Regions from separate parts of the Mus musculus genome. Here all the other regions are reported to be linked to region 3. The links are microRNA targets in miRTarBase. Many come from high-throughput screens and were not tested one by one. Region 3 holds a microRNA gene; each other region holds the end of a gene's coding sequence.
Evidence for each region. Region 3 holds the annotated microRNA mmu-miR-190a-5p (UGAUAUGUUUGAUAUAUUAGGU, at 2,460-2,481, opposite strand). A microRNA usually pairs through its seed, bases 2 to 8, with sites in the 3' UTR of a target mRNA and lowers its output. Matches are read on the target gene's strand: a 7mer-m8 pairs with bases 2 to 8, a 7mer-A1 pairs with bases 2 to 7 and ends in A, and an 8mer does both.

Region 1 (4,065 bases), not on the chromosome of region 3:
CAAAAGAGCATTACCACGTGTTTGAGGGATAACAAGATCCCGTCTAAAAGTCAAAAAAATAAATAAATATACTAGTAATAATAACTGGTAAGAGAAGAAAATAAACATTTAACTTAACATTTAATACTGTTAAGCCAAGTAATTTCCTCGCAGCACTCTGTGAACCTGACTTTCCTTATTTACCAGGAAACGCGAAATTACCCAGAATCCTATCCACAACTGCCAAGGGATGAAACCGTAGAGAATCCTCACCTTCAGAAGCACATTTTGGAATTGGCCTCCATTCTGGATGTTCGAAACATCTTCTTTGAGAATTCTATGGATGACTATTAAAACCCTCTTGTTTAACAGTTTTTCATTTTCCACAGATTTTAAATGGTGCAATTTTTTAATGTAATGACATAGTGTGTTACTTGGTTTTTATTTTTGGATTTAGGAAACACCATTTTAAAAGCAAACTGAAAAAAGTTCAAACTTTTAGGGTAACTTTTAAAATATAATCTTTCAAGTCTTTTAAATTCTCAATCTTGAAATTTTTATTTTTTTGGTCTTGGCATTAGATACTTACCTCCAACATCTACCCCCACATTCAAATAGTTACTGTTGTCACCTTAAGAAGAACATATATTGTTTATTTTTCCATAATGAGGACAATCCATAAGTTAAACTTGGACCTGGAAGTGTCTGGATTTGGGAAATACCTAATTGTTCATAGAGGTGAAACTGGCCACATGAAAGTCAAGAGCAGAGCCCTTCTGTGGAGTTGCTTTTCACTTCACACTAATCGGTAGGACATAAGTTACTCTCTGATGTACAAACTGATGTCTTGAGATCTCTGAATTTCATTAAATGATGTTAAATTTTTAGAACCTATTTAGAATTGTTTGCATCTGGAAATTAAATTTTAAATAGGAACTTTAAGATGACAGATATTTAGAATATGAGTACTATTATGATTTGTTTGCATATTTACTTTTCTTTGTGGTCTATGAATGCTAAAAATGCAAAGGAAAATACTTTTAAGTATTTCAGCCAAAAATCAAGTCATTGGTTTCATAGTTGGATCTCTACACAGATTCTTCGTTGGTTGGTTTTAAACAGTGTTGTAATGGATTCCTTGGTATATCCGCTGCACAGTTTTTCTAATCTTTTTTCATATTCAAGTTTCCAAGGCATGGATGTTAGAGAGACTCTGTGTGAGTTGAGGATAACTGGGTGTTAAGGAAGTAAATCGTGAGTTAATTTTGCTTTAACAATTTGGAAGATATTAAAACTCCCTGTGTTTTGTTATTTTATATTCATGCACAAGTTTTGTTATTTTAAATAGGACTCAATATGTAATATAAACGTTTTGTACATCCTTCCCTCCATCTCCTTGGTAATCTCAAAGGTCCTAGCTGTGAAGGTTCTTCCTTCCTGGCATCTTTTGGTTGCATGGCATTTAAATTCAGAAATCTGTGAATTGTAGGGTCTTCTGCCTGTGTCTACCCCTGACAGTCCTAGAGAAATGAGGTGGTTGTTTTCAGTACCTCTTTCCTGTGGCCCTAAGGAAATTTTTGATATGGTATTTTAACCCAGTTAACTCTCACTAGAGCATCACGTGGGTGTAAGTTGTGGCCATATCTGCTCCAGTGCACTTACTTTGTGAAGTCCAGGTCATGGTTGGGTCAGGGACTTAGGAAGTTTCATTTGCTTTTAAAATTGTTTGTATGTTCTTTCAGACAGTATTTTTAAAAGCTTAGAAAAAGGTTAATCTGGAAAGAGCCCTTCCAGATAGAGGTTTTTCCTTTTTAAAAGGCCTACTTCCATTTGTTTGCAAATCATGATTTTCCTTTTATAAACTTTCCTCCTGGAATGTAGCAGTAAATATTCCTTAGTAGTCTGGCCTCTGTTCCAGTTCCCTTAAGTACTGACCAACAATGCATACTTTCCTGTTCCCTGACATCTAAAGTGGCCTTGACCAGTGTTTTATTCTTTTTTGCTAAGCCTAAGGACCAGTTGTTTCAAAAGCAAGAGGTCTGAGTTCTAATCCTGGCTTTTCTAGTAATGAGCATGATATCCTTTGACAGACAAATAATCTGTTTTTTAGCACTCTTCCATATAAAATAGAGCGACTCGGTTAAGATCCTATTCCTGTTTGTGATTCTACAGTTTGGAACATTTGTTCCAAAAGTGTTGATTTCCTCCCCATTGCTTCCAAAAAAGTTGATTTGTGTGGTTTTAGCACTATAATATCCTTTCTATATCGTGTTTACTAAGGTGGTTCAAAACAAACCAAAAAATCCTAGGTCATACTTTGCTGTTTTGAGACTTGCTTAAAGAGACTTTCCTGGAGAAATTAGACCTTCCATGGTCAGAAAAAAAATGTATGTTGCAGATGCCAGTGTAAAACTAGATTATAACATGGGTTCTTAAACTAATAGAAATACAGTTCCTAACTCGTGGTTAAAGATATAAAATGGACCAAAGCTGTGGTTGTAGCTTCTTGGTAGAGCATTTAGCTAGTATTCAGAAATCCTGTGTTTGGTCTTCATCACTAGGGGAAAAAAATATATTTTTAAGAAAGAAAACAATAGAACCAATTTTGAGCTGGGTATGGTGGTGCATGCCTTTAATCCCAGTGCATAAGAGGCTAAGGCAGGAAGGTTGCAAGGTCAGAGCTAATCTAGATTATATAGCAAAAGTCCACCTCAAAAACAATTGTTAAGAGATCTGAAATCTTTTGAAAGCAAAACTGGAGTAGGGAATTTGAAACTTTAAAAAAAAAATCTTTGCCTTAAAAAATAAAAACAAACATACGTCACACATACCACATTATTTTTTTAATGGCATTGAAATGTAAGCAGAGGAGACTTAAAAATCTTTGCCTTGAGGATTAAGATCGGGCTTAGTATTAGAACCTTGCCTAGCATGCGTATATCCCTGGTTTCCATCCCTGGTACTTAGAGGTATAGCAAGAGCATCAGGAGTTCAAGGCCATCCTTAGCTATACAGAGTAAGCTCTAGACCAGCCTGCACTACAGTATGAGACCCTTTTGCAAAAATAGATTTGCCTATTTTAAGCTCCATTTAATCTTAGAATTTTTAAAAACTTAAATAGTAAGACTAAAAAAAGCAAAGCCAAGGGAGCAACATTTTTGTACTCAAATTGCACAAATTTCTCTGTAGATTCTGATAAAGTTTCTGGTGTCTTAAGAATCACTATAAACAAACTAGGAAGAATCAGACTGTAAGAGACTGGTTATGCACAAAGCAAAGTGAAGCACAACAGGATTTTCTTTCTGTATCCATGTATTTCTGATACTAAACCTTCCCTGTCTTATAGGAAGCAAGCTGAGATGTCAGAAGCTACTGGTTATTTGGTGATAGACATAACAAACACGAGCTCATCTCAGCCCAGTTGCTTAAACTTCTTTCTGTAATAAACAGGAGGGAAATTTTTAGAGCTGTATAATCTTAACATAAAAATTAGGATTTTGTTCTGTTTTGGAAATTCAAACCAGTCAAGATAAGGCTCAGTCATAGAGTGCTTGCCTAGCATCTGCAAGGCTCTGTGGTTAAATCCCAGTATAATGAATATTCTCGCCAGTGAATCAGCCACCACTAGCATTTTTTATTAATTATAAAATCAGATTTTTTTTCTTTGATTTTAGGCAGTATATATTCTTTGTAAGTATATCCCTCCTAGGAAGCGGTGCTCTCAAAAACTTTCAAAGCACAGAATTTATTGTGCCCTTTATACTTTTTAACAAAGTTAAAATGTTTCACAGTTTGGGAATTGAAGTGTAATTTGTTATTTGAGGTTTTCCTGACTCGAGGTCTGGGTTTAGAGTTTGGTTTTGTTTCTTCTCCTCCATCATGTAATAGAATTCCCTTAAATAGGTAATGATACTGAATTTCATTAGTGTCAAGGAAGAAGTCCAGCTCAGACTTCCGAATCAGACACAGGTCCTTCTGAAGCATTCTTCTCCAAGTTCAGTCTCTGTCTATGTCTGAGGTGGGGTTTCAACCTAGTTGAAAAGTCTCACTTATCCGTGGAGACTTATAATCACCTCAATAACAAGA
Region 2 (4,065 bases), not on the chromosome of region 3:
GTGCGGAAAAGGCTTCAGCCAGAGCTCGAACCTCCACATCCACCGGTGCACCCACACGGGAGAGAAGCCGTACCAGTGTTACGAATGTGGGAAAGGCTTCAGCCAGAGTTCAGACCTTCGGATCCACCTCCGAGTACACACCGGGGAAAAGCCCTACCACTGCGGCAAGTGTGGGCAGGGCTTCAGCCAGAGCTCCAAACTCCTCATCCATCAGAGAGTCCACACGGGTGAGAAGCCGTATGAGTGCAGCAAGTGTGGCAAGGGCTTCAGCCAGAGCTCGAACCTCCACATCCACCAGCGGGTTCACCGCAAGGAGCTTCACTAAGTAACATGAGCCCACTCAGAAGACTTTTATTGTAAAGATAAATATTTTTCACGACCGAGTGTGCATATCAGAGGTAGCATGCTTGCCTAGCATGTATCAGTCCCTGAGTTTGAGCCCTGATACGCCCCCACCCACACACACACACACACGGTTTCCAGCTTATTAATACTTTGTGCATGTTAGGAATGTGTGTTCATGCAGAGAGGGGTATGTGTGTTGTGCTGGTGTGTGCATGTATGTGTGCACGCACGTGTGTGGACGTCTGAGGATATCTCAGATACTACATTCTGTATGTGAGACTAGGCATCTGTCTGTCACACATGGTGTGTAATGTCACCAAGTAAGCCAGGCCAGAGTCCCATGGATCTAACTGTCTCCACTTCCCAGCTCACCGTGGCTAGGGTTGCGGATGTGTGCCACCACATCCAACCTTTTTATGTGGATTCTGTCTCAAGCTTTCTAGACAAGAGCTTTGCTGCCTAAGCTATGTCCCAGGGCTCCAGTTTAATACTTTAAACTCTTACGTTTGAATTCCTCAAAGGAAAGAAATAGTTAAGGGTTATTCCGATATAGCCCCTCACAGAAGAAATCAATCCGAGTACTCAGCACATTTTATGTTATACAGTGAATGGGTTACTCTGGTTTCTCATATGGGTAGAGTGTATAATGCAATTCTGCCAGTGTTGTTAGAATTATATTCTACATTTTTTAACTGCAAGAACTCTGTATTTTTCCAAGCACAGCATGGTTCCCTTCATTCATATTCTCTGAGAAATTGGAATTCATGTTTCCTCTGAAATTATGTGCCTTGTTTTTCATATTCCATTTAAGTCCTAAATAGCTCTCTTTAAACTGTGACCGTCCAATGTGTTCATTTGAGGGTGGGGTGGGGGAGCTGGAGGTATAACGGGCATGGTGACCTGTTGTGTTTAGTACAAAAATGTGCATCAGTTTGCACTCACACTACAGGAAGTGCTCCCCACATACTACTATGGTGGAAAGTCCACTCAGTCCCTCCTCTCTGGCAGCTGTTCAGGAATGTAAATAATTAGTTTTTAACGAGTGAAGGTAGTTTCTTGGGGATGCTTCCATGATAAAAACAATGGAGAAATCCTGAAGCAACAGAGCCAAAATAGGAGAGTAAACCTAGCATTGGGTGCTACGGAGAATAGATGATCCAGTGGAAGAGGAGAAACAGTACGTGGGGAACATGAGGCAGCCAATTAGAGGCTTCAGAAATGTGAAGAATATGTGGCAGCCAATCAGAGGTGTCAAAAACATGGGAACCATGTGGCTGTCAATCAGAGGCTCTGAAACCATACTAAGACTGATAAAGTGGCCATGTGGATCAATGAAACAAAAAATAAAACTCACTTCAACATGTCAGCCCACACGACTACAGGCTACAGCTACCAGGCTTTTTTTTTTTTCCTTTAATATTTATTTATTAAACCGGGCGTGCTGGAGCACGCCTTTAATCCCAGCACTCGGGAGGCAGAGGCAGGCGGATTTCTGAGTTGGAGGCCAGCTTAGTCTACAAAGTGAGTTCCAGGACAGCTAGGGCTATACAGAGAAACCCTGTCTCGAAAAAAAAAACAAAAACAAAAACAAAAACAAAAAAAACCAACAAAAAACAAAAAGATTTATTTATTATATGTAAGTACACTGTAGCTATCTTCAGACATTCCAGAAGAGGGAGTCAGCTCTCTTTTTTTTTTTTTTTTTTTTTTTTTTTTTGGATTTTTCGACACCACGCCCGGCTGGGAGTCAGATCTCTTTAAGGATTTTAAGGAAGGTTGTAAGCCATCATGTGGTTGCTGGGACCCGAACTCAGGACCTTCGGAAGAGCAGACTGTGCTCTTAACCGCTGAGACATCTCCCTAGTCCCTCTACCAGGCTTTTTTCAAAGATCCCCCAAAATAATCATTGGTAAAAAGACATCTCTTCAACAAGTAGCACAGGGGAACTAGAGTCCAATGTCTCACTCTGCCCCAAAGTCAACTCTAAGAAGTCGTGGGCTTTTTCTTTTTTCTTTTAGGCACGGTTTCACTGTGTTCTGATTGCACAGGCACTCACTATGTGGGTCAGGCTTACTTCATTGATTAACACATTGTCTAAAAGTGTTAATCAGTGTCTAAAAGAAAAAAGAAAGAAACCACAAAATGGCTGATATCAGTTCTCTTCTGAAAAGTCAGAGCAATGTGAAGAGCAGGAAAGGCCTTACACCTATTTCAGTCCTCCTGCCTCAGCCTTCCAAGCAGCTGGGATTATAGACACCCATTGTCTTCTGCTATACTCAGCAAGGAGCAAATAGTATTTGTAACCAGAGAAGTCCACAGAGCCCCTAAAAATCCCAGCACTTGGGAGGCAGAGGCAGGTGGATCTCTGAGTTCAAGGCCAGCCTGGTCTACAGAGTGAGCTCCAGGACAGCCAGGGCTACACAGAGAAACCCTGTCTGGAAAAAAAAAAAAAAAAAAAAAAAAAAAAAAAAACCTAAAACAAAAACAAATCAGAAACAAAAACAAACAAACAAACAAAAAAACAGAAGGCTTTCAGAATCATGCAGAAATGCCTGGCCTCTGTCACCATGACAGTGAGAGCAAAGATGAGGTGAAGCCAGCTGCAGGTGACAATCTGAATTCAAGTTCAATCTCCCAATCCCACATGGTGGAAGGAGAGATGCTAAACAAGAGAAAGGGGCAGGCTTGGGCAACAGACAAGGTTTGATCACATAGTTTAGGTCTTCTGAACATTTAAGAGGATATGCAGACAGAATGGATGGAGCATAACTAGAGAGATTACCAAGAAAGATCGGCCCCCAGGGAGGACTGATGAGAACACTGCTCAGAGAGGAGGCTGAGACAGAGAGTGAACACAAGACAGGAAGTGCTAACAGACCATACAACCCAACCATTCAGACATGGGAAGAAAGGGTTAGACCTGTGTATGACGAGGAAGGACCTTAAAGAGCATGTGGCACCCTGGAAGTCAAGGAAAAGAATCAAAAGAAAAAGCAATCAATGGGCTAGAAGACCATGTGCAAAATGACAGACTTAGTCCTGGGAAGTCACCTCTGATATCTAGTGAAATATTAAGAGACAGGACAAAGCTAAGGCTTTTAGTCCCTCCCATGCGGCTGACCTCTGGTTCATCTTCACACAGAGACAGGAAGCAAGACTAACTATAAAAAGCCTTTAGTGTGACTGAGGTCATGTGAACCCTGTACAAGTCACACTCTATTGCTGAACAAGCACCACCTTTCACCTATCTAGGGATGACAAATGGTGTGCCTAGGAGGAAACAGCCATACCTATGTTCTAAAGGACAAACTCAAACACAGTAATTAAGTCTGGAACTTTTTTTTAAAAATCTACATAAAGAAGGCTAAGAATGTAGCTATGGCCTAGTGAGGCATTCTTTTTTGTTTGTTTGTTTGTTTGTTTTCTTTTTTGTTTTTTGGTTTTTTGAGACAGGGTTTCTCTGTATAACCCTGGCTGTCCTGGGACTCACTTTGTAGGCCAGGCTGGACTCAAACTCAGAAATCTGCCTGCCTCTGCCTTCTGAGTGTTGGGATCAAAGGCGTGCGGCTTTAGTGTGGCATTCTTATACCCAATCAACCAGAGAGAAAGAGGCAGGGAGGATCAGAAGTTCAGTTATCTACAAAACGTGGAGGGATACATAAATTACAAAAAAGAGGGCTGGCAAGATGGCTCAGCAGGTAAGAGCACTGACTGCTCTTC
Region 3 (4,065 bases):
AAGTCAGAAGTCCAGTGGAGTTTTTTAAAAGTGTAAATGTGTTATATGTAAGTTAAATGTCCTCAAGGGAAAAACGGGGGCCAATACCTAGGACTCCCACAACGTGCAGGAGGTCTTTTCCTGACAGTTGGATGCTTGAGTGGAACAGGTGGCCATGTTTTCCTTTCTTGTGCAGAACCTGGCTGCTCCTGCCTAGCTTCTGGTTTTGACTTGAGAGATGCTTTGGGGAGAAAGTCTTGGCCAAAGCATACCATGGCTACATCAACTTGTGCTCTGAAGGACCAGTGGGTTGGCTGGCTCTAAGACCTCCTTCATCCTTAATAAAGCTAACAAAAGGCAAATCTCCCAGAACAGCTGGTACCCTTCACAGAGGCCTGGTCTCAGGGGAAGCTCAGGGTGACACAGAGAAACCACTGCTGAGCAAGTCATGTTAGTAGCTGGATACGCACCACCTTCACATCCAGATAGATAATAAAGGAATAGGTTCATGTAGCATCCATTGGAAAAGCCCCAAGCCTGCACAGTTAGTATCTTGGGAATAGTTTTTCCCCATATAATACAATTGCTTTATTACATTTTTTGTAACTTATATTCAATATAAAAAGTAATACCACTGAGTTGATCTTATAATTAGTCTCTGATGAAAATAAATTCTTTAGAATTCTGTCATACTCTCAAAAAGGGGAAGAAGGGGTCACTTGGACCTTGATATAGGAAGTATGGACAATAGAAGCCTTTCCATTATTCAATGAGATACAGTTTGGTTCATCTTAGGAATCTCTGGTATGAGCCTTCTATGCATCTAAGGACCTAACAAGGTCCTGGTAGAGAACCACCTGGCAATACACTCTCTGCTTGTCTGGGACCAAGGTCTGGCATGTGAGCTCCAAGCCTGTAGCTTAGCCATGCAGAAAACATGTTTGCTTTCCCATGTCACAGAACACCTGTGTGCCCGTTCCCACTCCCACTCAGAATATGAATCAGCCACATGGGAATGCCAGACAGCAGCAGAGTTACCCCCCATCCCAAATCTCACCACTTCTGGCAAGTGTCTTCATCCGAAAGACCTTTTAGAGCGATGCTTAAAAAAACTACTCGTTCACCAATGGTGGCTTCTACATATTCCCAAGTTCCTTTTCTGACGACCCCCGTCAAACTACTCTCCTGCCCCTGTAGGGTAAGAGGTCTTGCTCATCCACAGTTAGGAGTGCCATCAAGAGTTGTTTCCTCCTAAGGTAAAACCAACAAGGCCTGGGAGCATAGCCATGCTATTTCCAGGAAAAGTACTTATATAGTCTCTGTGCTAGACAGCTCAGAGTAAACTCACATACAGTTCACGGACTCATTTATGGGAAGAAGTCAAAGCAGCCAGAGAGGCTGATATATACCCGAAAGAATGCTTTCTGGGTCATAGCCCAACTTCCTGCGGCAGCCAATTAGAGTATTTGTTTACTTTCGGACTGCCGGGTTCTTCTAAATATTAACAACCTCTGTGCAGAAGTTCACCTACAACAGAAAACTCAACCGACAGAGCACAGTCCCGAGCATGTTCTCTTCATCAGACATATCTGATCCAAATTAAGGTCTGCAATTAAGGTTTACGGGCTCACCATCCGTAAAGTGAGCACAGTCACCAGGGTTTAGATTTGTTACCAGAAGCGGAAAGTTAGAGATAATAAATGTCCCGATTTTTTTTTTGGCATGGAAAACAATTACAAAATTTAATCTGTGAGAGTGTGTTGAGAGTTGTCAGGAAGAAATATCTAGATCAATGTGTTTGCCAGTTACAATCCTAACCTTTGTCCTATATCAAAGACACGGGTTGTTATCTTCCATCTTTTTCCACTGAATACTTTTCTTAAGGACTCCTAATTGCATTCAACTAAACTTTAGAAAATATCTTAAGCCTTCAGGAGCTATACTCCCTTTCCACAACAAACAGATAATGTAGTAGTATTGATACAGTTTGTTGTGGTCTGAAACAAAGCATCCCCCATCCATAATAAGTTAGTGTGTCTGAACATTTGGTCTTCAGCTGGCAGTGCCATTTGGCTATGGAAGCTTTAGGAATTCACAAAGCCTTGCTGAAGGACATACTGGCCTTTGAGGTTTTATGGCCTGGCTCCATCTGCTGTCCTATCTCTCTACTTCCTGACTGCCGGCCTTCCCTCTTTGATGGTCTGGCCCCTGATAAACTAAGCCATAATACACCCTTTTGCCTTAAGTTGCTTTTGGTTGGGGCATCCTGTCACAGCAACAGAAAGGTAACTAAGACACAGGTCTTAAAGGCTACACGAAGAAATGGAATGAAACATAACAACATACGCACTCTGTCATCTAAACCTACTTGTGATTTTTTAATATATTTTTTCCTGTTGCTTCTAAACTTTGTTAGGACCCCCGGAGACAGGGCAAGACACTGTAGGAATATGCTTGATATATAGTTGGATTAAATAACAACCTAATATATCAAACATATCACACAGAGGCCTGCAGAAAAGGCATCCAGGTTTGACTGAGCTTGAGAATATGGCTGTGGGAGTCAGTCACCTCTGCAGTATCTCCCAGCCTGCCTTGGAACACAGGCGTGTCTGTAGGTGTGGCAAGGATGCCATTAGCAACAATGCTGGTGGCACACACTCTGAGCCTGGGCTCCTTTCCCCAAATGAAAAGGGAGTCTGTGCACCTGTCTGTCACTCACGTCTGAGAGATTACAGGTAAAGGGAGGTGCTTCCATGGTCAGGGCCCAAGGGTGGAACTACACCAGAACCATCTTCACATGCCACAGACTAGTCTCCTTTTAAAACAGGTAACCTGAGAACCAGGTAATCAAAACAGCTGGAAGTCATCACCCTCCCTCCCTCCCTCCCCAAACTAGTCCTCCAAGCAGCACAGGTGCTCTGCCTGGGTGGAGGATAACCTCATTCACGTGGTATGGGGGTGGGTGGCCACAGTCACTATGGCAAGTATGCAGGAGCAGCTGCCATTTATGGCACCCTGAGGATTTTTGTCTTTAAGGTTACAGGACAGGATGGAGAAAAGTAACCTCAAATATTAGCTGGTTTTGCTGTTTCGGTAATTTTTTTTCTTTTAAGCCGAGGAAAAGTTCTTTTGTAACTGTCAGGAGGATGTTATGCATTGTGCAAGAAGTTTCCCACGGTGGACGGCCCTCCTTGCAAGCCCGGGGCTACATGCTTTGGGATGATAAGCTGCTTTGAGACACTTTCATGGATAATGCCTAGCAGTGTACACATAAGGGGTCCACACAGGCCGCCTCCGGCAACCATCCCTCATTTTCTTTTCTTAAGATTTACTTATTTATTTTAAGTGAGTACACTGGCACTCTCTTCAGACACACCAGAAGAGGGCATCGGATCCCATCACAGATGGTTGTGAGCCACCATGTGGTTGTTGGGAATTGAACTCGGGACCTCTGGGAGAGCAGTCAGTGCTCTTAACCGCTGAGCCCTCTCTCCAGCCCCCCTCATTTTCAATGTGTGTGGTTTTCAAACATTGTTTTCCAGAACTGTAAAACACAGAGCCTGCCGTTCCCTGGTCCCATTTCAAGTCTTAGCTGTTCTTTGCTGATCATCTCCGTTAGTTCCCAGCTTTGTGACATAAGCACTAACCATGGATGCCTAGGTGTTATCATTTCTCCCCATTTTACTCATTCCATAAGCATCTTCACGCTGTACAGTCTGGCAACCATTACTCTTCATTACTGTAACAGCCTCATCATTTCCCTTCAAGAAGACCCCAACTTCTTACTGCTACCAACCAAGCTTCTAGAACATCCCTCTCACACAAGTCTGGGTTTTTTTCCTTAGGAAAGGAACTGGAGACAAGTCTAACAGCCTAAGACACTATAAAGTGCAGTGGTCCTGAGGGACGGGAATCATTTTCTCTGCCAATGGGGTATCAGAGGGAGTACAGTGTTCAGAAACTGGGACCCCAGCTCTATGTTCCCTCCCCACTCAATCACACGGTCTGACAGTGGTGAGGACCAGATAAAATACTTAGGAGACTGGTCTGGACCGTGTCTTGTATTTACGGTAGCCCTGTCGC
Region 4 (4,065 bases), not on the chromosome of region 3:
TCTCACTCAAGCAAGCCTTCCTCAGTGTTCTTCCTCTTACTTTAGTTAGATTGTCTGTAGGTGTGTCCAAAGTGTCCTTGCTTCGAATAGATGAGTGTGAAGGGAGGCACACCGCCTGCTCCCCCTATCCTGGGAGCCCATCTTCTACACAGCTGTCCCTCTGAGGGCAGGCCCCATCCCTCTGTCCATGCTAGTGTCTCTTCTTGCAAGCTCAGGGGAGAGGCTGAGGAGCTACTGGGGGACAGTAACTGCAGGAACACGCTGGCATGCCTTTGTAACTACTGCCATCTCCACGGCCTCTTGTCTTACAGAACACCCAGTGCATCCCAGAAGGCTTGGAGAGCTACTACACGGAGCAAGACTCCAGTGCCCGGGAGAAATTTTACACTGTCATAAACCACTACAACGTGGCCAAGCAGAGCATCACCCGCTCCGTGTCGCCATGGATGTCAGTTCTGTCAGAAGAGAAGCTGTCGGAACAGGAGACCGAAGCTGCAGAGAAGTCAGCTTAGCGAGCAGGGCAGGTTCCTTACGATGTGTCACTTGAAGGCAACAAGGGGACTTTGAGGGACATTTCATTAAATATAATTACCGATAATTTAGAGATTACTCATTTACGGTGCAATTGCTTCTGTTTGCTAATGCTGCTTTGCAAATTAAACTTGCTGCGGACCACCCACAGGCGTAAGAACAAGAGCATCTCAGCATTGCTTAGAGAGCTGGATGCCACTGTCCACGCTGAGGAGTCTTCATTTAGCTCCTTCCCTGGGATTCACTGGATACTGTCAAAAGGTAATCTACACTGGCTATGCCAGGGGTCTGGCCGTCAGAACAGCACAGCTGCTGGTTTCCTGTTTTCTTTTCTGCCCCTTTGCTATCTGCAGACCTTACTCCATAGCCATATCTAGAGTGATCCCGTGCTTTTGCTGGTGGCAGTGCTGACTGTCAACATGCACTGTTGAGCGGCGCAGAGAAGGGGACGTGGGCACCACGACGCAGCCCTGCCAGGCAATTCTGGGAGGTTCTCTTTGGTATGTCCCCTGAGCAGAGCACAAGGATGGGGTGGGGAAGAGCTGGCTCTGGGCTAGGGGGTCGCCGAGCCTGTTTCTCTGTGGGTGGGCTGTCTGCTGGTAATGTGCTAGGTAGGAAGAAAGCCCACTGGTTCTTTTCTTTCCTGTTATGAATATATTTGCACGTACAGCCCTGAATGCAGGTGCAGTTTGGGTTTTTTGTTTTGTTTTGTTTTGTTTTATTAGCCAGTGGGCAAAGTGAAATGTAATTTTGGGTAAGCCAGGGCTACTTTAGCTTTTCTTCTGTGAACAGATGTGACTCCTGTGCTGTGGGAAGGGGCAGGACGGCTGGTGGGGGGGGCTGATGTGGCACCTTGCAAATAGAATATCTAAGTCCACAATCTTTGTAAGAAAAGTATGTTTATGTTTCAATCTGAATCTTGACATTAAAGTATATGTTTACAAAATCACCAGTAGGTAAACTAAATGTGTAAGACAATTAAATAGAAAAAGCTATTCCTGATTGTTTTCTTCCATGTTCTCAGAATGTGTTGTTTCTGGTGGGCATGTCAGAAGTCTCGGCGTCCTTTAGTAGGTCAGAAATAAATGGCAAATAGTCTGAGACCTTTGTGAACAAGCATGGTGGCCACCATCAGCTCCACTGCTGCTTCCTGAGGTGTGCTACTGAGACAACATCATGTATTGTTGAGGTGTTCTAAAACAAAGGGCATGAGCTCAGCACAGGGGGAGGGGCCACACAGTCACGAGCTTGAAGTGCATTGGAAAGCTGCGAGGAATGCGCAAAGAGCAATACACATGTGCCAAAACTTGTCTGTAGAGGGATCCGACTCATGGGCCGTGTGCGTGCAGTAGGCAGGCCCTCTGTGTTTTCTAACGTAGCCCTTTACCCACTGTGAACTCTCCCAATGTAATTTCTCATTTTTACTCTACAAATAAAGAGCTCGTGGGTACTTAAGCCGCACACTGGACTGTCTGTACTCATGTGCTTCCGCAGGAATTGTGTAACCCAGGATACATCTGTACACAGATGTAGGCCATGTGCTATACACTTCTAGTTCTCAACAGGCAACCCTGTGGCCTCTTCTAGAGGGGCGAGTATGCAGGAGCAAGAGCAGAAGGCCCACTCTTCTGAGGTCCACACCCTTCTTGGAACACAAATATCTGGGACTCAGTGGCAGGAAATGAGGCTTCGTGTGCCTCTAGGCCCTAGCTTTGATGTTAACAAGACAGGGAGCCAGGTCAGGAGAGAGGCTTAGTGGAGGGCCCCAGAGCCTGCCTGTCCAGCCAGGTGGTGGCCAGAGGGGCTCAGTGGAGACTCACTGACTGCAATAAGTGGCTGTAATTGCATTTATTAGCTCGACAAGGCAGATGTGAATTATTGTCTATGACAAAATGGCCATGTATCAGCACACATTAGATGCCACAAGGAAATAAGAACTGATGACTTTAGCAACATTAGGCATGTTCTCCCCTGAAGCTACGGGCGTGGGAAGGGCAGGAGATGGGCCCCAAGCCTGTAATGGAGATAGGAGGCCTGCCATTTCCTTGCTCTGCTCAGTCCCCACCATGCTTGTGGCCTGTCCTGAAGGTGCTGCTCCTGATGGCCTTTTATTTTCCACCCTGAAGGGCACTTGCAATCCATGTATTTCCAGGTCCTGAGAGGTTCCAAAGGTTGGCTTGGGGGCGGTGTTTTCCCAGCCCTTGGACCTTACACAGCTCCACAGCCGATGAGACACATGCTGGCACGTGGTGCGTCCAAGGCACAGGCGCAGGCGCAGGCTCAGCCCTGGTGGGCTAGCTGTCATACCAGTCGAGGAAGAGCAAGGAAAAGGAACACATCACGAGGAAGAAGAGGATCCACACTCGGAAACCTGCATTGTTTTTGATGGCCTGGCAGGAGGAGCACAGGCGTTAGCACCAGCCTGGACTGGGTTTAGAAGCCCTAGGTGCCCTGAGCACACCTCTATGAATCCCATGCTCTCATTAGATAGGCACAAAAGCCACTGTGCATGGACACTGACAGAGAGCAAAGCCCTTATATTTCTTTTTCTTTTCTTTCTTTTTTTTTTTTTTTTTTTTTGGTTTTTCGAGACAGAGTTTCTCTGTGTAGCCTTGGCTGTCCTGGAACTCACTCTGTAGACCAGGCTAGCCTCAAACTCAGAAATCTGCCTGCCTCTGCCTCCCAAGACATTTTTAAAATTACATTTATCTCAATGGTGGGTAGGTGGGAATACATGCCACCGTGTATGTGGGATAGGGTCAGAGGAAAATGTAGAATTAATTCTCTGCTTCTACCCTGTGGACTTCAGAAATTAAAATCAGATAGTCTTGCCTGGCAACAAGCACTTTTATCCACTGAGCCATTTTGCTTGCTCTGTCCTTAACCTCTTCTGTTGGGCAAAGCCTAACCTCCCAGGACTCAATTCCCCAGGGACCAATCCCATTTGAACCAGGGCTTGGGTGTTCCAGTGATGCCGGTCTGTGGTGACACAGGAAAAACTAGGAGGTCTGGGATTTAGAGACAGCTGGCTCATAAGGCTAGGTGCCCTTCACAGTTAGTTTCTGGGCTCCTCCTCTCTGTGGACTCATCCGTGGTTTCAGATTATCCTGACCCTACCTGGGTGCTCTCCCACCCACTGTCCTTGCAGGGATGGAAGCTACTTTCTCTTGAGAATCCGCAGGTGTTATGAACACATGCTCTGAGGCTGGCCCTGACAGTAAACCCATGGCTACAGCTGCAAGGTGGACCCTAAACACTACACAGTATTCTTGGACAACCTCACTAATGGGATTCAGGCTGCTGGGATGCAGTGCTGGGCCACATCAGACTAGAAAGCACAAGGTACCCACCTCTCGGATGTCTTCGTTGCCTTCCTTAATATTTTCAGTTGCCCCCACGACTAACTGGTGAATGCTGTCGATCTCAGTTTCCTGTGGAAGAGAAGAATATCAGGGAAGACAAGCATTCTTTTCTCCACCAAGAAGACATTCTTCTACAAGTACTTGTCTGAAGCATAAAGCTTTCAGGGTGACC
Region 5 (4,065 bases), not on the chromosome of region 3:
CAAAAGACAGCTTTCCGGAGTTGGTTATCACCTTCCACTGCATGGGTCCTGGGGATCCAACTCAGGTCTTTAGGCATGGTGACAAATACCTTTTCCACCTTAGTCATTTCGAAGACCCTCTTGCCTTTTTGTTTGTTTTGGAGAAAGGTCAAACAGTTCTCATGCCTCAACCTCCTAAATTCAGGGATTACAAGCATGAGCCACCACACCCAGCTGCTTCACCTCTTCTCAAGTTTTAACAAAGTGTTCAGTTTTTCCTTTTTTTGCATGGTAGGGAAATTCTTTCATTCCCAAGACTTCAGGGGATTTTGGCTTTTCAGGAGACAGCTGGGGAACAAGCTCAATCAGGGCTAATGAGGAGACTGAGTTGGACTCCTGCCTGATCCCTCACTGTGGTAGGATGAATGTGGGGGTGGCACACAGCGAAGTAAACCCCAACACTCGAGTGATGAACAGTCGGGGCATCTGGCTGGCCTACATCATCTTGGTAGGACTGCTGCATGTGGTTCTCCTCAGCATCCCTTTCTTCAGCATTCCTGTTGTCTGGACCCTGACCAACGTCATCCATAACTTGGTGAGCACTAAACCAAACCCTGTACCCAACCCAGGTCTATCCCAACCAAAACAAAACAAAGTCACCAGCTGTTCGGGGATTTATGTCTTCCTTTTGGGATCTTGACCCAAAGGACTACTTCCTACCCCTTATACTGTCCCTTTCCCTCTTCCCAGGCAATGTATATCTTCCTACATACAGTCAAAGGGACGCCCTTTGAGACCCCTGACCAAGGAAAGGCTCGGCTTTTGACACATTGGGAGCAGATGGACTATGGACTACAGTTTACCTCCTCGCGAAAGTTCCTCAGCATCTCTCCTATTGTACTGTGAGTCTGGGTGTGAAGGAGATGCTGGGTTGGAAATGGCTCTACTAACCAGGGAAAAGGTACTAGGGGTTGGGGAAATGGTTTAGTCAAGTGCTTGCCATAAAGGATAAGGACTTGAGTTCAATCCCTTGCACATATGTAAAAGCCAGATGTGGCCATGTACAACCATGAGTGCCTATAATCCCAGCACTGAAGAGTCAGAGGCAGGAAGATCCCTAGGGCTCGCTGGCCAGACAGTTTAGCCAAATTGCTGCACTCCAGAGTCAGAAAGCAACCCTGGCCAAAAAAAAAAAAAAAAAAAAAAAAAAAAAAAAAAAGAAAGAAAGAAAAGAAAAGAAAAGAAAAGAAAGTAGAGAGCAATTCATGACAACTCATGTTGAACTCTGGTCTCCATGTGTACTAACCCTTGAACATGTACCTATGTTTACACACACACACACACACACACACACACACACACTCTAGTCCTAAGCCTACATTATAAAGTACAAGACATAGTCAAGCATTCCTTGCTGGTTCCATGGTATTAAGGAAAGGGAGAAGGGACTGAAAATAAACCAAACTCCTAACTAAAGCCAAGTGATTTTACAGTCCCAAAAGAAAGCAAGAAGGTAAAGGCAGAATGTATATTAATGGTTAAAAAGTAAAACTGACTTGGAGAAAGGAAGCAAAAAGGGCTCCAAAAGTCATATATGCTGAAACAGCTTTGGCTGTCATTTGCAGTTTATCATTAACCATTAACAAACAAACTGATTTATCATCTCTAGTTAAAGATGCCTTCTGATTATATCCTGAACCTCATTAAATACCATTGATTAGCTGAAATAGTTGTTGGACTACATGCAATAAAACTAGTAGTTCAAAATAGAAAAGTCACTGGTAAGGCATGAATGTGATTTGGGAGGCCAACCTCCATCATCCTAATTCTTTTCTCCTAGTTACCTCCTGGCCAGCTTCTACACCAAGTACGATGCTGCTCACTTCCTCATCAACACTGCCTCGCTGCTCAGCGTGCTGCTGCCTAAGCTACCCCAGTTCCATGGGGTTCGTCTCTTTGGAATCAACAAATACTAAAAGATGGTTTGCTAGTTCTGCAGGCATTGAGGGAAGGCACTGGAACTAATATATAATGTTTTCCCTTCTCCACACTATCTTCTGTATCTTGGAAGCCTGAGAGATAAGATAAACCTATCTAAACTCCAAGAAGGAAGAAACTGGAAAATGGGGTTCCTGGGTCCAGTCTTCATAGGGTCAAGATTCTCTGAATCAGGAAAGGTGGATGAGGTTAAGGGCACTACCACTCACTCTCCTCTATCTAGCAAGAAGCCATCATTGTTTGGGCAGCTTTTCTGGTGATTATGTTTTTCCATATCTTCTAAACCTACCAACTTCAAGTTCTGTTTTGCTGTATATTTTTCTTAAAATAAAGTCTTTCAGTTATGGCTGAAATTTGATAAGCAAGGACAGAGAGATTTTCTCATAATGCTGGGGAGAAAATGCAAAATGCTGACTTACTATAAAAAAAACTTTTAAGCAAAATTTTGTCTCTACTCCTTTGGTCCAATACCTTTCACTCACAGCTAACAGCAAGGAAAGAATTCTCAAATAAGAAAAAAGAGCTCACAAGTGAGTAGTGGAGGCACATGCCTATAATACTAGCTAGCCCTCAGGAAGTGGAGGCAGAGGCAGGAGAATCACTGCAATCTGGAGTCCAGCCTGGTCTACACAGTAAGACTCTTATCTCCAAAAGAAAATAGAAAAGGACTCCCAGCTACATGGGTAAAGAAGAGAAGGAAGATGTAAGTTGCCAGTTATATATTTATAGAAAGATAATCTCCTGGCTTTAAATAGATATGTACATACAAATATGAACAAACTTAAAAAAATACAAACCCTTGGCTAACAAGGGGGCCTCTGGGAACCCCTCTATCCTTCCCCCTCACCCAAGGGCACAGGGCATAAATCTGCTTTTTAAAAATTAATTAATTTTGGCCATCCTTGCAACAACAAGCCTGAAGTTAGGTGTCTTACCAATAAAGTGAAAGTCAGAGGAAAAAAATCAGTTTCCACTCTTGAGTTCTGTGTCTCCAAAATTAGGGCTACATGCTTTTTCTTTTAGCTAGTATATCAGGGTAAAGGGGGGAGGGGAACCCCTGATATGGGTTTAAGAAATAAGATACACTCATTTAAAAGGGGGTGTGTTTCATCTGCTCTTAAGAGCAGATGATAAGATAAAGGCATACAGACCCCAGAGAAATCCCCAGTTCCCACACCTCAGAAGCATACTGTCTGGACTAGGTCCAGCCCCTAAGTTCTTTGCTCTGACCACCTCCTATTTCTTTGGTATTGTCAGAAAACAAGATTCAGTTCCTGGGTGTTGGGGAAGAGGGAGAAGAGGTCATGGGCTTCCTCTAAGTACTGAGTGAACAATTTAAAATGTTTCCCTTTTTAAAGTATTTTAAAATAAATCAAATTCCATCCTGTGCTGTACACAGCCCTTTTGACTCCCTGACATTGATTTGAGGAAGGAAGAGAAGGGGTGTCATCGTTGAAAGGGCCGCCTCACTTTCTTCCGCCGTTTAGGTTTGGCTTCTCCCTTGGGTACTGAACTGTTGGGCCTAGAGGTCGAAGTGGTCCCAGGGCCAGGGTGAGGTGCGGCAAAGAAGTTCCCATTGGACATCGGCCCCGGAGGTACTTGAAAGATCCGGCTCAAGAAATCCTGCAGGTCAGCAGGAGGGGACTCTGGAGTGGCCCTGAGGGAGAAAAGAGGCAGAAGACATTATAGTCGGCTTCCAAAATTAACTACACACCGAGAGTCAGTGCCCAAACTTCCTAGAAAACAAGGCATCTGAAACCATACAACTGACATAGTAGGTGTGAAAGTATCACCTACCTCTGCCGGCCACTGGTGCCGGGTACCCGAGAACCAAATGAGATGTGGTAAGGAACTCTGTGAGTATCTGGGGAGATACCCACACGCTGGCATCCAGCCCACTCTGCAAACAGAGATAATTACCCAAAACATTAATTCATAGCAAATGAGATGAAATAAGATCTTGTATTTGGAGGTCAGAAGTGTACCTGTGATGTCATACACCTTTCCATCCATCAGCGCAAAGTAAGTGATCTTGAGGCCCAGCATGCTCGACTCTGCCCAAAAGTCTCCTTCCTCAGCAGGATGCAG
Region 6 (4,054 bases), not on the chromosome of region 3:
TGGCACTGACTGCTGCAGGTGTGGCTGAGGACCTGGGATGCTGTAGGGACAGCAACCCATCCTCAAATTCTTGTCTGCATCCCTCAGCTGTGGCCATCCCTAATAGGCTGTCCACAAGTGCCAGAGCCCATTTCCTTCCCTGGAGGCTCTGACTGCTTATCTGTGGCATGGCTAATGTGTAGTATGGCAAGGAGCCCACAAGATGCCACAGAACACCCCAGATACCCTAAAGCACCTTATGAGGCTACGGAGTTATACAACAGAGGATGAAAATCCCATCCTAAGCCATGGAGAAATGTATGTTAGGGTGGGATTATCGTGATTTCAGAAGACCGTCAGCTCCATGCCTCCATGGGTTCATCTGTGACCACTAAGTAGGAGCCGGGGCAGGCAGGCAGGGGGCGGCACGTAGGCTAGTGAGAGATGAGAGACTACAAGTATGAGACCTAGAATAGTGGCCAAGAACATGGAAGACAAGATCCCAAGGCAGAGTCCAAGGTGGGGGCCAGGGTGCTGAACTAAAGCAGTGGACACAGGACAGAGGGGAGGTCGGGAACTTACTCGATCATCCATCCATTCATCCCAGAGTGCCTGGTTGTTTTGGATAGGAGTCTGATAATAATGTTTGCCTGGGAATCTTCAGCAATTCTAAGAGGTTGACAGAGGGCTCCTGGGTCAGGAACTACTGCCATCTAGCCAGGTTTCCCTTCAGCCCTGGGCCAGCATAGACCAATACTCAGGGTACATGGACATCAGAGGGACACCGACCTGCCTCAGGCCACCTAGCTCTGGGCATGGTGTGCCTGGTGTTCGTGGGGGTGGGAGGGGCAGCATCTGTTGAATGAGCACACAAAGGTACAATACAAACTTGTACAGTTATCTTTGAGACTGTATGGGGCTCATGGAAGCTGGGAGGGACAAGTCCTTGGGCCTTAGGGCTTCTAGAAATCCATTGCATTGTGATTCTACAGCAGATGTGACAGAGCCAATGTCTAGACTTTAGGTGCGGCCTCAGAGGAAGAGTCACACAGTGGTACCCAGTCGGGGAGATAGTCCGTCAACCTCTGAAGGCGCAATCACAAAGCTGCACCTGTTGGCACCTTGAGAAGCAGCCTAAGCAACTTAAGTGTCACACTAACTTCCCAGAGGGCTGGGGTTGTAGCTCAACGGAGAGAGCATTTGCTTGGCCTATGCAAGGGCCCCGGGGTTCCACCCCCAACACTCCAAAACAGCCACAAAAGGCCCACATCAGTTGGAGAGTGCTCCTCAAGCGTGCTGGAGGCCCTGAGTTCTAGATCGAGTACCACATAAACCACAGGCTGAACTCTTGGCACCCGAGGAGGGGCAGGGGCCTCAGGAGCTGGTGACAGTCCTTGGCTATGTAGGAGTTAGAGGACAGCTTCTTTCAAACAGCACACAGGAATGCTGCGTAGGTAAGGAACTTTTACTTGCAACTCCAGTGTGAGGGCCAGAGTTCAGATCCCCAGCACCCACGTGAAGGGCAAGTGATCTCGGTGAGCCTCGGCCTCAGTAGAGAAAGGACTGAGGAAGACGCTCCCCATGTACGTGTGCCCACCCCCAACACTAAAATAAGCAGCACCACACGTGGATACTGTAAACACAATAAACAAGGCGGCCTCCTCGTAGGCTTCCACCTCAACAACCAGCTGACCCAGTCCCTCACTAGCCGCTACCGGGACAGCCGGCTCCGTGTGGACTTCGAGCGCTTCGTGTGCTGTGCAGCCCGGCTCACCTGCATCTTCCGTGAGTACTCCTGGCAGGCAGGGTAGGGTGTGGTGGGGTGTGCATCAGGGCTGGTGCTGCGTACTCACCCTGGCCTCTCCCACACAGGCCACTGCTGCCAACACCTGGATGGCGGCGAGGGGGTCGTCTGCCTGACCCACAAACAGGTGAGCTGGCCCGAGGGACAGTGTGGCTCTAGCACCATCCCAGGGCCTCTGCCTCAAGGGTATCTTTCTTTTCTCTTCAGTGGTCGGAGGTGGCTACCTTCTCATAGGTTTGAAGCTGAGGGAGGTCACCCTGCTGCCCGACTCACTGTCACAAAGGTGGTGGCTATGTAACCCTGGCCGGCCTCACAAGTGCTGGGATTACGAGCTGGAGCCATCCCAAACAGAACTGCCACCCTTCCTTTTGAAGCCTCTTCATGTCAGTCCCTGCTTAGAGAGGGGCACAACCCCCACACAGGCACTGGGCTGGTGGGCACTGCCAGCTCCTTGGGGCATGAACAGAGATGCAGGGAGAAGATGACACCAGAGTCCTTCTTAAAAATATTACATGTTTTATTCTCCCATCCCCAGAGGGTGGTTTATCCAGAAACCAAGAAAATAAAAATCAATCAGAATAAACTCAAGGGGGCGAGTGGAGAGAAACCCATTAACGACCAGGCAGGCAGGCCAGCAGCCTGCCTCCACCTCAGAAGGTCCCCAGAGACCTCTGCCCACCGCCACGAGGGGAAAATCAGGAGGGACTGGGGAGGGCATTGAATCAGCTATGTCTTCATTATGAGAGTGAGAGAGGTGGCAGAGATATGCAGCTAGATGGATATATATTTATATAATAAATCCGTAAGTTAATAAAGTAAATAGTAATTCTCTGGAAGGTCTTAAGTTTTTAAAGTTTTCTTTTTTTTTTTAAGTTTTTTTTTTCCTTTTTTTTTTTTTAAATGATTTTTTTGTTTGTTTCTGTTCCATTCTTTGTGTTTTGTTGGTTTTGGTCCTTAGAAAATCTGAGACTCAGAGGCCAGGTGGGCTGGGGCTGATTGCCCCGCAGCCACTCCTGAGGCAGAGAAGGGCTATGGCAGGTCCTCTGCTCCTGGGAGGAGCCACTGGAATCTGGTCCAGGGGAGCTGGGTGCCCTCTGCTGGACTTCTTAGGGCAGGCGGTTCCTGGACAAGGCACATGGGGCTTTGGCCTAGATGTGAGAGGCTTTGAAGGGGCCTCAGGGGCAGAGGGGACCTGGGATAGGAAGGTATCTCTGGGGCACAGGAGTCCGTTGTCCCCTCCAATCGGCTAAGAACCCACAGCACAGCGTATATATTTAGCAGACCAGAAATGCTGATTGCCAAGCCTCCCTCCCCTACAAGACTGAGAAAGAGAGGCCTGCCTAGCCCCTCCCTGCCTGACCCCCTAGAAGGACCACAAAGAGCTCTTTGCATAGATACAGAGTCAGGGTGGGGGCAGGGCTCCTCAGCCCCTCCGGGAGGCCAAGGGAGTCTCTGTTCAGGGTGGCCAAGGGCCTCACAGGTCGCTCTCCCCATAGAGGGCTGTGGAGAAGGACTTGTAGTCAAGGGCGCCAGGAGCAGCATCAGGCCCCTGGTAGGGTGCCATGCGGGCGATGCAGTACTCGGCCTGGTCGGGGGGCAGCTCTCTCCGCAGTTCCTCAGCAGTGATGAAGTTCTAGGGGCATAAACAGGACTCTGAGCCACTGTGTCTTACCCACTTGACCTAGTACCCAGTGCTGGCTCAAGTTTTGGCTACCGGCCGCCAATGCTTCTGTGGGTCGTGCTTACCTTGTCTCCTGCCAGGACCTTGAAGGAGGCGATGACCTGATCAGCTGTGTCTGTGTCTGTGGTCTCCCTTGACATGAAGTCAATGAAGGCTTGGAAGGTCACGAGGCCACTATGGTTGGGATCAACCACACTCATGATCCGGTTGAACTCAGCATCACCCTGTGGGGAGGGGGAAAGGGAGAGGACATAGTACTTAGTGGAGCTGCTTACAGATTCAGTTTTGGAAGAATTCAAAGACAGAAATGCTGCCAAATAGTGCCAGCCTTGGGAGTTTGTCCCTTGGCCTCCTCCCCCCAAGTCTGGGGGAGCAGGGGGTGAGGTTCACTTTCCCAGCTTTGGTGGGTGGGGAAAGAAAATGAGAAACAGAAAGAGAAGGGAGAGAGCTGGAAGACTGTTCCCTGGATACTTGCAGGAAGAGGTTGGTTTTTCGGGGGTGGGGTGGAGGGTGTCCACTGGAAGGACCCCAGCCTCGAGTGCAGCAGAGCAGCGGAGGCAGGCAAGGCTATGTTGCACTGGAGTTGGAGG
Region 7 (4,059 bases), not on the chromosome of region 3:
CGATCTGGTCCCCTGTTCTCCATAGTCCTTCACCCCCAAGCACCACTGTACAGACTGGGGACCAGCCCCTTCCCTGCCTGTGTCTCTTCCCAAACCCCTGTAGGGGTGGTGAGAAGAGGAGGGGGGGAGGGGACACGATCCCTCCTCAGGCATCTGGGAAGGCCTTGCCCCCACGGGCTTTACCCTTTCCTGTGGGCTCTCTCCCTGACACATTTGTTAAAAATCAAACCTGAATAAAACTACAAGTTTAATATGAAGCCCCCAACTCAGTTGTTTATTTGTTGATTGAAAGGTACTTTTAGAATCTAGAAATGCTGAGACTTCATAGTAGCCTTTGTGGTTTAGGCAGTTGGATAGGAAGCAAATAAACAGCACTCAGGCATGATGGTGGGTACATTTTGTACATTTTATTGGTTTGGGGCACATAAGACCCCAGCCTGAGGGATGGAGGGTGGGCTGGAGCTCTCTGGTGGTTACTTGTGATAGAATCTTGGGTTCTGGCTGTGTTGGATGAAAGGGAGTCGGGGGCCAGGTTGGCTGGTGGTGGCAAAGCCTGACTGGTAATGATAAGAGTTTTATCAGTGGGTAGGTATTCCAGCACTCAGCACAAGGGGGAGGGGACAGTTACAGTAAGAGGTTAGTCTTTCCCTGGTAGTATATGTAGGTTTGATTGCCAGCCTTACCTTCCCTGCTGCTTGTATCTGTACGGGAAGCTGGGGGGAAGCCAGGAGTCCAGGGGCTGGATGCAGAGCTTGGGGGTGCATGGGCCGCAGAGAAGACTAGGAGACAAAGCTGACCTTAAAGGGAGGCATCCTGGGGCTCCCCTCATCTTAGCACCTTGGCCTCCCAGGACTCCATACTCACTGAGTCCGAGAAGCTGGTCTGCTGGTTGGCATGCTCCATCTGTTTCTGCAAAGAGAGGGTACTGCCGGGCTGGAGGAACCCTGAGGGGAGGAGAGTTTGAAATGAGCAGGTGGCAGTAGGACTCCTGAAGGTAGGGCTCCTGCCCAGGGGGATCTCACCTGTCTGAGTGGGCTGAAAGTGGCCATGCACTGCATAGGGTTGTGGCTGTGGCTGAGATAGGTACTGCACTGCAGGAAATGCTGATGGGGCTGAGGAAGGTGGGAGATGATCTGTTAGGGTTTGATGCTCTTGCTCTTCTTGCCCCTAGTCTGAGGAGAACAACACTCACCTCTGAGCTGCTGGCTAGGACTATAGGCTGGTTGTGTTGGCCCATAATGAGGTGGGGGCTGAGCAGTCCCATAAGCACCCCCTGGACTGCCTTGGAATTGTCCATGTTCTGGGGTTCCTGCAAAAGCAGCTGCTGATCCCACGTAGTGCCGGGTCTAAGGGGAAATGAAAGCTCACTGCTTAGGAAAAACCCCATATGTATATATATATGCCTTTACGCTCAGCTCCTACATACACATGCTTGGTATATTTGTTCTTGAATGATTGGGATTAACAGTACTGATCCACAGAAGGAGGAGACATGGAGTTAGGATCAGATTTCAAGACTAGTCTTGGCTAGTAACTTAAAAAGCCAGCCTGAAGAGTTAAAAAAAATCAAAAAACCTTTCCCTCACCGTAAGCACTTGTGGTCCAAACATCTGCTTGGCTCTGTCAGCTGCCATCAGAGTACCTGGGCGATTGTGTCCTCCAGGGCTCCCTAGAAAGGGGGAGAGGTTTCACGATGCTAAAATAGGCAGCGACCTCCTGGAGAACTCCCCTGTTAGGCGGTTTCCTCAGTCCTCTCACCCTGCATGCTGAGGAGGTGGGTTCCTGTATGAACCGTCAGGCTCTGCTGGTATGCAGCTGATGTCAGAGTGGTTAAGTCACTGGAGTGGAAGGAAGACAGGTCAGTTAGCCTCTTGCTATTAGATTGTCACCTGTGCCACTGCACAATTTTACTTTTAGCCATCTCATCACACCTCTGTTCCTTTCGCCTCCGTTTTTCTTCCTCATGCAAAACTTTCTTGAGCTGCAAGAAAAGCTGGTGCTTCTCCTCCTGTAGAGCAGAAAGCTTCTCCTGCAGCTTCAGGATCTGGAAGAGGGACGAGCAGCTAAAGCAGGGAAAAGAAGGCATCGAGAAACAAGTGTGGAGAGGCTACTTACCTGTTCCTTGGTCTCCTCTAGTGACATTCTCTCTTCCATTTCCTTTTTCTTTCTTCTCTCCTGCTCTTCTTTCATCTTCTGTTCCATCATCTTGTCCACCTCTTCCTCCTCTGAAGAATCAGAACGGGGAAGTGGCAAGGCGGTGTGAATAAGCTGAGCGTTAGACTGAAGACCAGCAAAAACCAGTTACTCCATCACAGCCACAGGGAGAACTTGGCTTCATTAGGTGCTCTCCAAGGTCCTTCCCAGCCCAGGGTTCTGGTCTGGAACTTAGACTGGGCCTCTTCACTCACACCCCGAAGGCGCCGCTGCCTCCCTCTTAGCCTCGCCAGCAGGCGCACAGCTGGGCCCGTGGATGGGGGCAAGTTCGTGGGTAGCAGGGCCACCCTGAGCCGAGTGTCTGTCCTCCCGCTCTGGCCCAGGCTCACCCTGCCGTTTGCGCTCCCGCTCCATCATGATGTGCCGGTGCAGAGCCCTGGCCATAGCGTTGGAAAGCTTGGGGCGCTCCAGGAGTGCGGGCATGATGCTGTTGGTGACGCTTGGGCAGTGGGCACCCGACTCTCACTGACTGCCAGACCTCAGGCGGGGCCTGCAGGGAAGTGGGAGCTTAGAGAGACTGCGACGCGCCGAAGCGGAAGCCCGTCCGCCGCCCGCTCGCCACTTCGATCACGTGTCCCGGGCACCAGCGTCCCTCCGGGGTCTCTGCCTCAGCGCCGGGGCGCGTGCGAGGGTCTTAGGCTCCGCGCCCCCGCCCCTCCCTCGTAGCCCTGGCGCCAACCCCCGCAACCCGCCTTGTCGGCGCTTTCTCCGAGGCCTTCGGCGCGCCTTGGCCTCTACGTCATATCCGGCGGCCAGGATAAATCCTTCCGGAGTCACGACGGCAAACGGCACAGCCGATTGGAGGAAAGGGAAGGCGGAAGCGCTTAGAGACGGGTGCCGGGATGTCCAAACTCCATGTGGATTTACAGAGCGGCCTGGGATGATAAAGCCCCTAGAACTCTTCACTCGCGAGGCCGCGGGAGACAGAGGCGGAGGCAGATGCTCTGAAGACAGTATTTATTGGCTCCTTAGAAATCAGAGTCAGTAACAACTGTACAGAGGCCCACAGCGTCCTCGGGCAGCCCTTCCTTTTACCCACTCCCTCCCCATGGCGCCCAGTGGCCACGGAAAAAGCAGCTTCATGTGGGCACAGAGAGACTCCTTTGGGATTCACAGTAACCAGAAACAAAAACGGAAATAAATTAAGTGATATGGGGGAGGGTAATAATAGGGAGTCATGTTCCCCAAGTCAGTGCATGAAGGGGGGACCCCGAGACGAGCTGGGCTCCCTCTCAGCAGAGGGAGTGTGCTGGGCCCTGAATGTAGAGATGTGCTTCACACCTGCTCTAAATCAAAGCCTGCCTACGTGCTCCTCCTTGCCAGGACAGCACTGGACATGCTCTCAGTCACGGGAATGAGGTGGAGGCAGTCGTCATTCAAGAGTCCTGGGCTTGAGGCCCGGCTGTGCTTGGAGTAGTGGTATGTCACCCCTTATTCCACTCGTACCAGCAGGGCATAGAGGAGTGTGGCTCCCTTCTCCTTAGTGACCCACTCAAGTTCCGATGGGCTGAAGTGCTGGTCAGGAAGTTCTCTGAGGGCCGCAGAGGGAGGGCCAGGAGTATAGGAGCCAGGGCGCACACACACCTGAAAGGCCACCTGAGCCTGGTGTGTCCGCTGGGATTTTGGGTCCCGGAATCTGTTAGCCAAGCAGAAACGAGAGAAGAGTAAGGCTCCCAAGGTCCATGACTGCTAATTCTGCCCCCTCCACCCAGGCCTTGCTGTTTTCTGGGAAATACTGTTCACCGTGACTGGCTTAGCACCAACTATTGTGTATGTAGTACTCTCCTCCCCTGGCCTGCTCAGCTAACTCCTCCCCAGCACTCTTCATGTGTTTATTTACCCTGG

Region 1: miRTarBase lists Scai as a target of mmu-miR-190a-5p. The part of its 3' UTR that is shown has no 7-base or 8-base seed match.
Region 2: the mRNA of Zfp239 is a reported target of mmu-miR-190a-5p. Seed matches in the 3' UTR shown: 7mer-A1 at 389-395.
Region 4: the mRNA of Nsg1 is a reported target of mmu-miR-190a-5p. The part of its 3' UTR that is shown has no 7-base or 8-base seed match.
Region 5: the mRNA of Dnajc14 is a reported target of mmu-miR-190a-5p. Seed matches in the 3' UTR shown: 7mer-A1 at 3,036-3,042 and 7mer-m8 at 2,732-2,738.
Region 6: the mRNA of Actn4 is a reported target of mmu-miR-190a-5p. The part of its 3' UTR that is shown has no 7-base or 8-base seed match.
Region 7: miRTarBase lists Neurl4 as a target of mmu-miR-190a-5p. Seed matches in the 3' UTR shown: 7mer-A1 at 3,362-3,368.

The regions. Positions count from the first base shown.
Region 1 is chr2:39,071,278-39,075,342 of GRCm38, reverse strand. Scai (suppressor of cancer cell invasion) reads left to right here. Exons shown (of 18, transcript NM_178778.3): 18 at 187-4,065. The coding sequence ends at 333. Among named protein-coding and RNA genes, the nearest start is that of Gm30067, 6.8 kb to the left of the region's middle.
Region 2 is chr6:117,871,584-117,875,648 of GRCm38, forward strand. Zfp239 (zinc finger protein 239) reads left to right here. Exons shown (of 4, transcript NM_001001792.2): 4 at 1-1,183. The coding sequence ends at 325. Among named protein-coding and RNA genes, the nearest start is that of Gm38882, 6.0 kb to the right of the region's middle.
Region 3 is chr9:67,234,241-67,238,305 of GRCm38, forward strand. It overlaps Mir190a (microRNA 190a), which reads right to left and starts at 2,486; the gene lies at 2,420-2,486. All of the region lies in intron 53 of Tln2 (talin 2), which reads right to left.
Region 4 is chr5:38,135,119-38,139,183 of GRCm38, reverse strand. It overlaps Nsg1 (neuron specific gene family member 1), which reads left to right. Exons shown (of 5, transcript NM_010942.4): 5 at 312-1,991. The coding sequence ends at 512. Stx18 (syntaxin 18) reads right to left here. Exons shown (of 11, transcript NM_026959.3): 10 at 3,882-3,962; 11 at 1,414-2,921. The coding sequence ends at 2,826. Among named protein-coding and RNA genes, the nearest start is that of Nsg1, 23 kb to the left of the region's middle.
Region 5 is chr10:128,816,770-128,820,834 of GRCm38, reverse strand. It overlaps Dnajc14 (DnaJ heat shock protein family (Hsp40) member C14), which reads right to left. Exons shown (of 7, transcript NM_001359825.1): 5 at 3,963-4,065; 6 at 3,775-3,877; 7 at 1,387-3,634. The coding sequence ends at 3,424. It overlaps Ormdl2 (ORM1-like 2 (S. cerevisiae)), which reads left to right. Exons shown (of 4, transcript NM_024180.6): 2 at 321-574; 3 at 730-881; 4 at 1,820-2,933. The coding sequence starts at 401. The coding sequence ends at 1,955. Among named protein-coding and RNA genes, the nearest start is that of Ormdl2, 2.8 kb to the left of the region's middle.
Region 6 is chr7:28,890,972-28,895,025 of GRCm38, forward strand. Actn4 (actinin alpha 4) reads right to left here. Exons shown (of 21, transcript NM_021895.3): 20 at 3,530-3,688; 21 at 2,277-3,416. The coding sequence ends at 3,258. It overlaps Capn12 (calpain 12), which reads left to right. Exons shown (of 21, transcript NM_001110807.1): 18 at 1-18; 19 at 1,648-1,764; 20 at 1,852-1,910; 21 at 1,991-2,614. The coding sequence ends at 2,017. Among named protein-coding and RNA genes, the nearest start is that of Gm44700, 4.0 kb to the left of the region's middle.
Region 7 is chr11:69,912,918-69,916,976 of GRCm38, reverse strand. Neurl4 (neuralized E3 ubiquitin protein ligase 4) reads right to left here. Exons shown (of 29, transcript NM_001013414.3): 29 at 3,153-3,850. The coding sequence ends at 3,646. Gps2 (G protein pathway suppressor 2) reads right to left here and starts at 2,957. Exons shown (of 10, transcript NM_019726.5): 1 at 2,544-2,957; 2 at 2,116-2,225; 3 at 1,932-2,044; 4 at 1,759-1,838; 5 at 1,587-1,669; 6 at 1,193-1,346; 7 at 1,023-1,112; 8 at 865-944; 9 at 684-779; 10 at 383-557. The coding sequence starts at 2,637. The coding sequence ends at 474. Eif5a (eukaryotic translation initiation factor 5A) reads left to right here. Exons shown (of 6, transcript NM_181582.4): 6 at 1-265.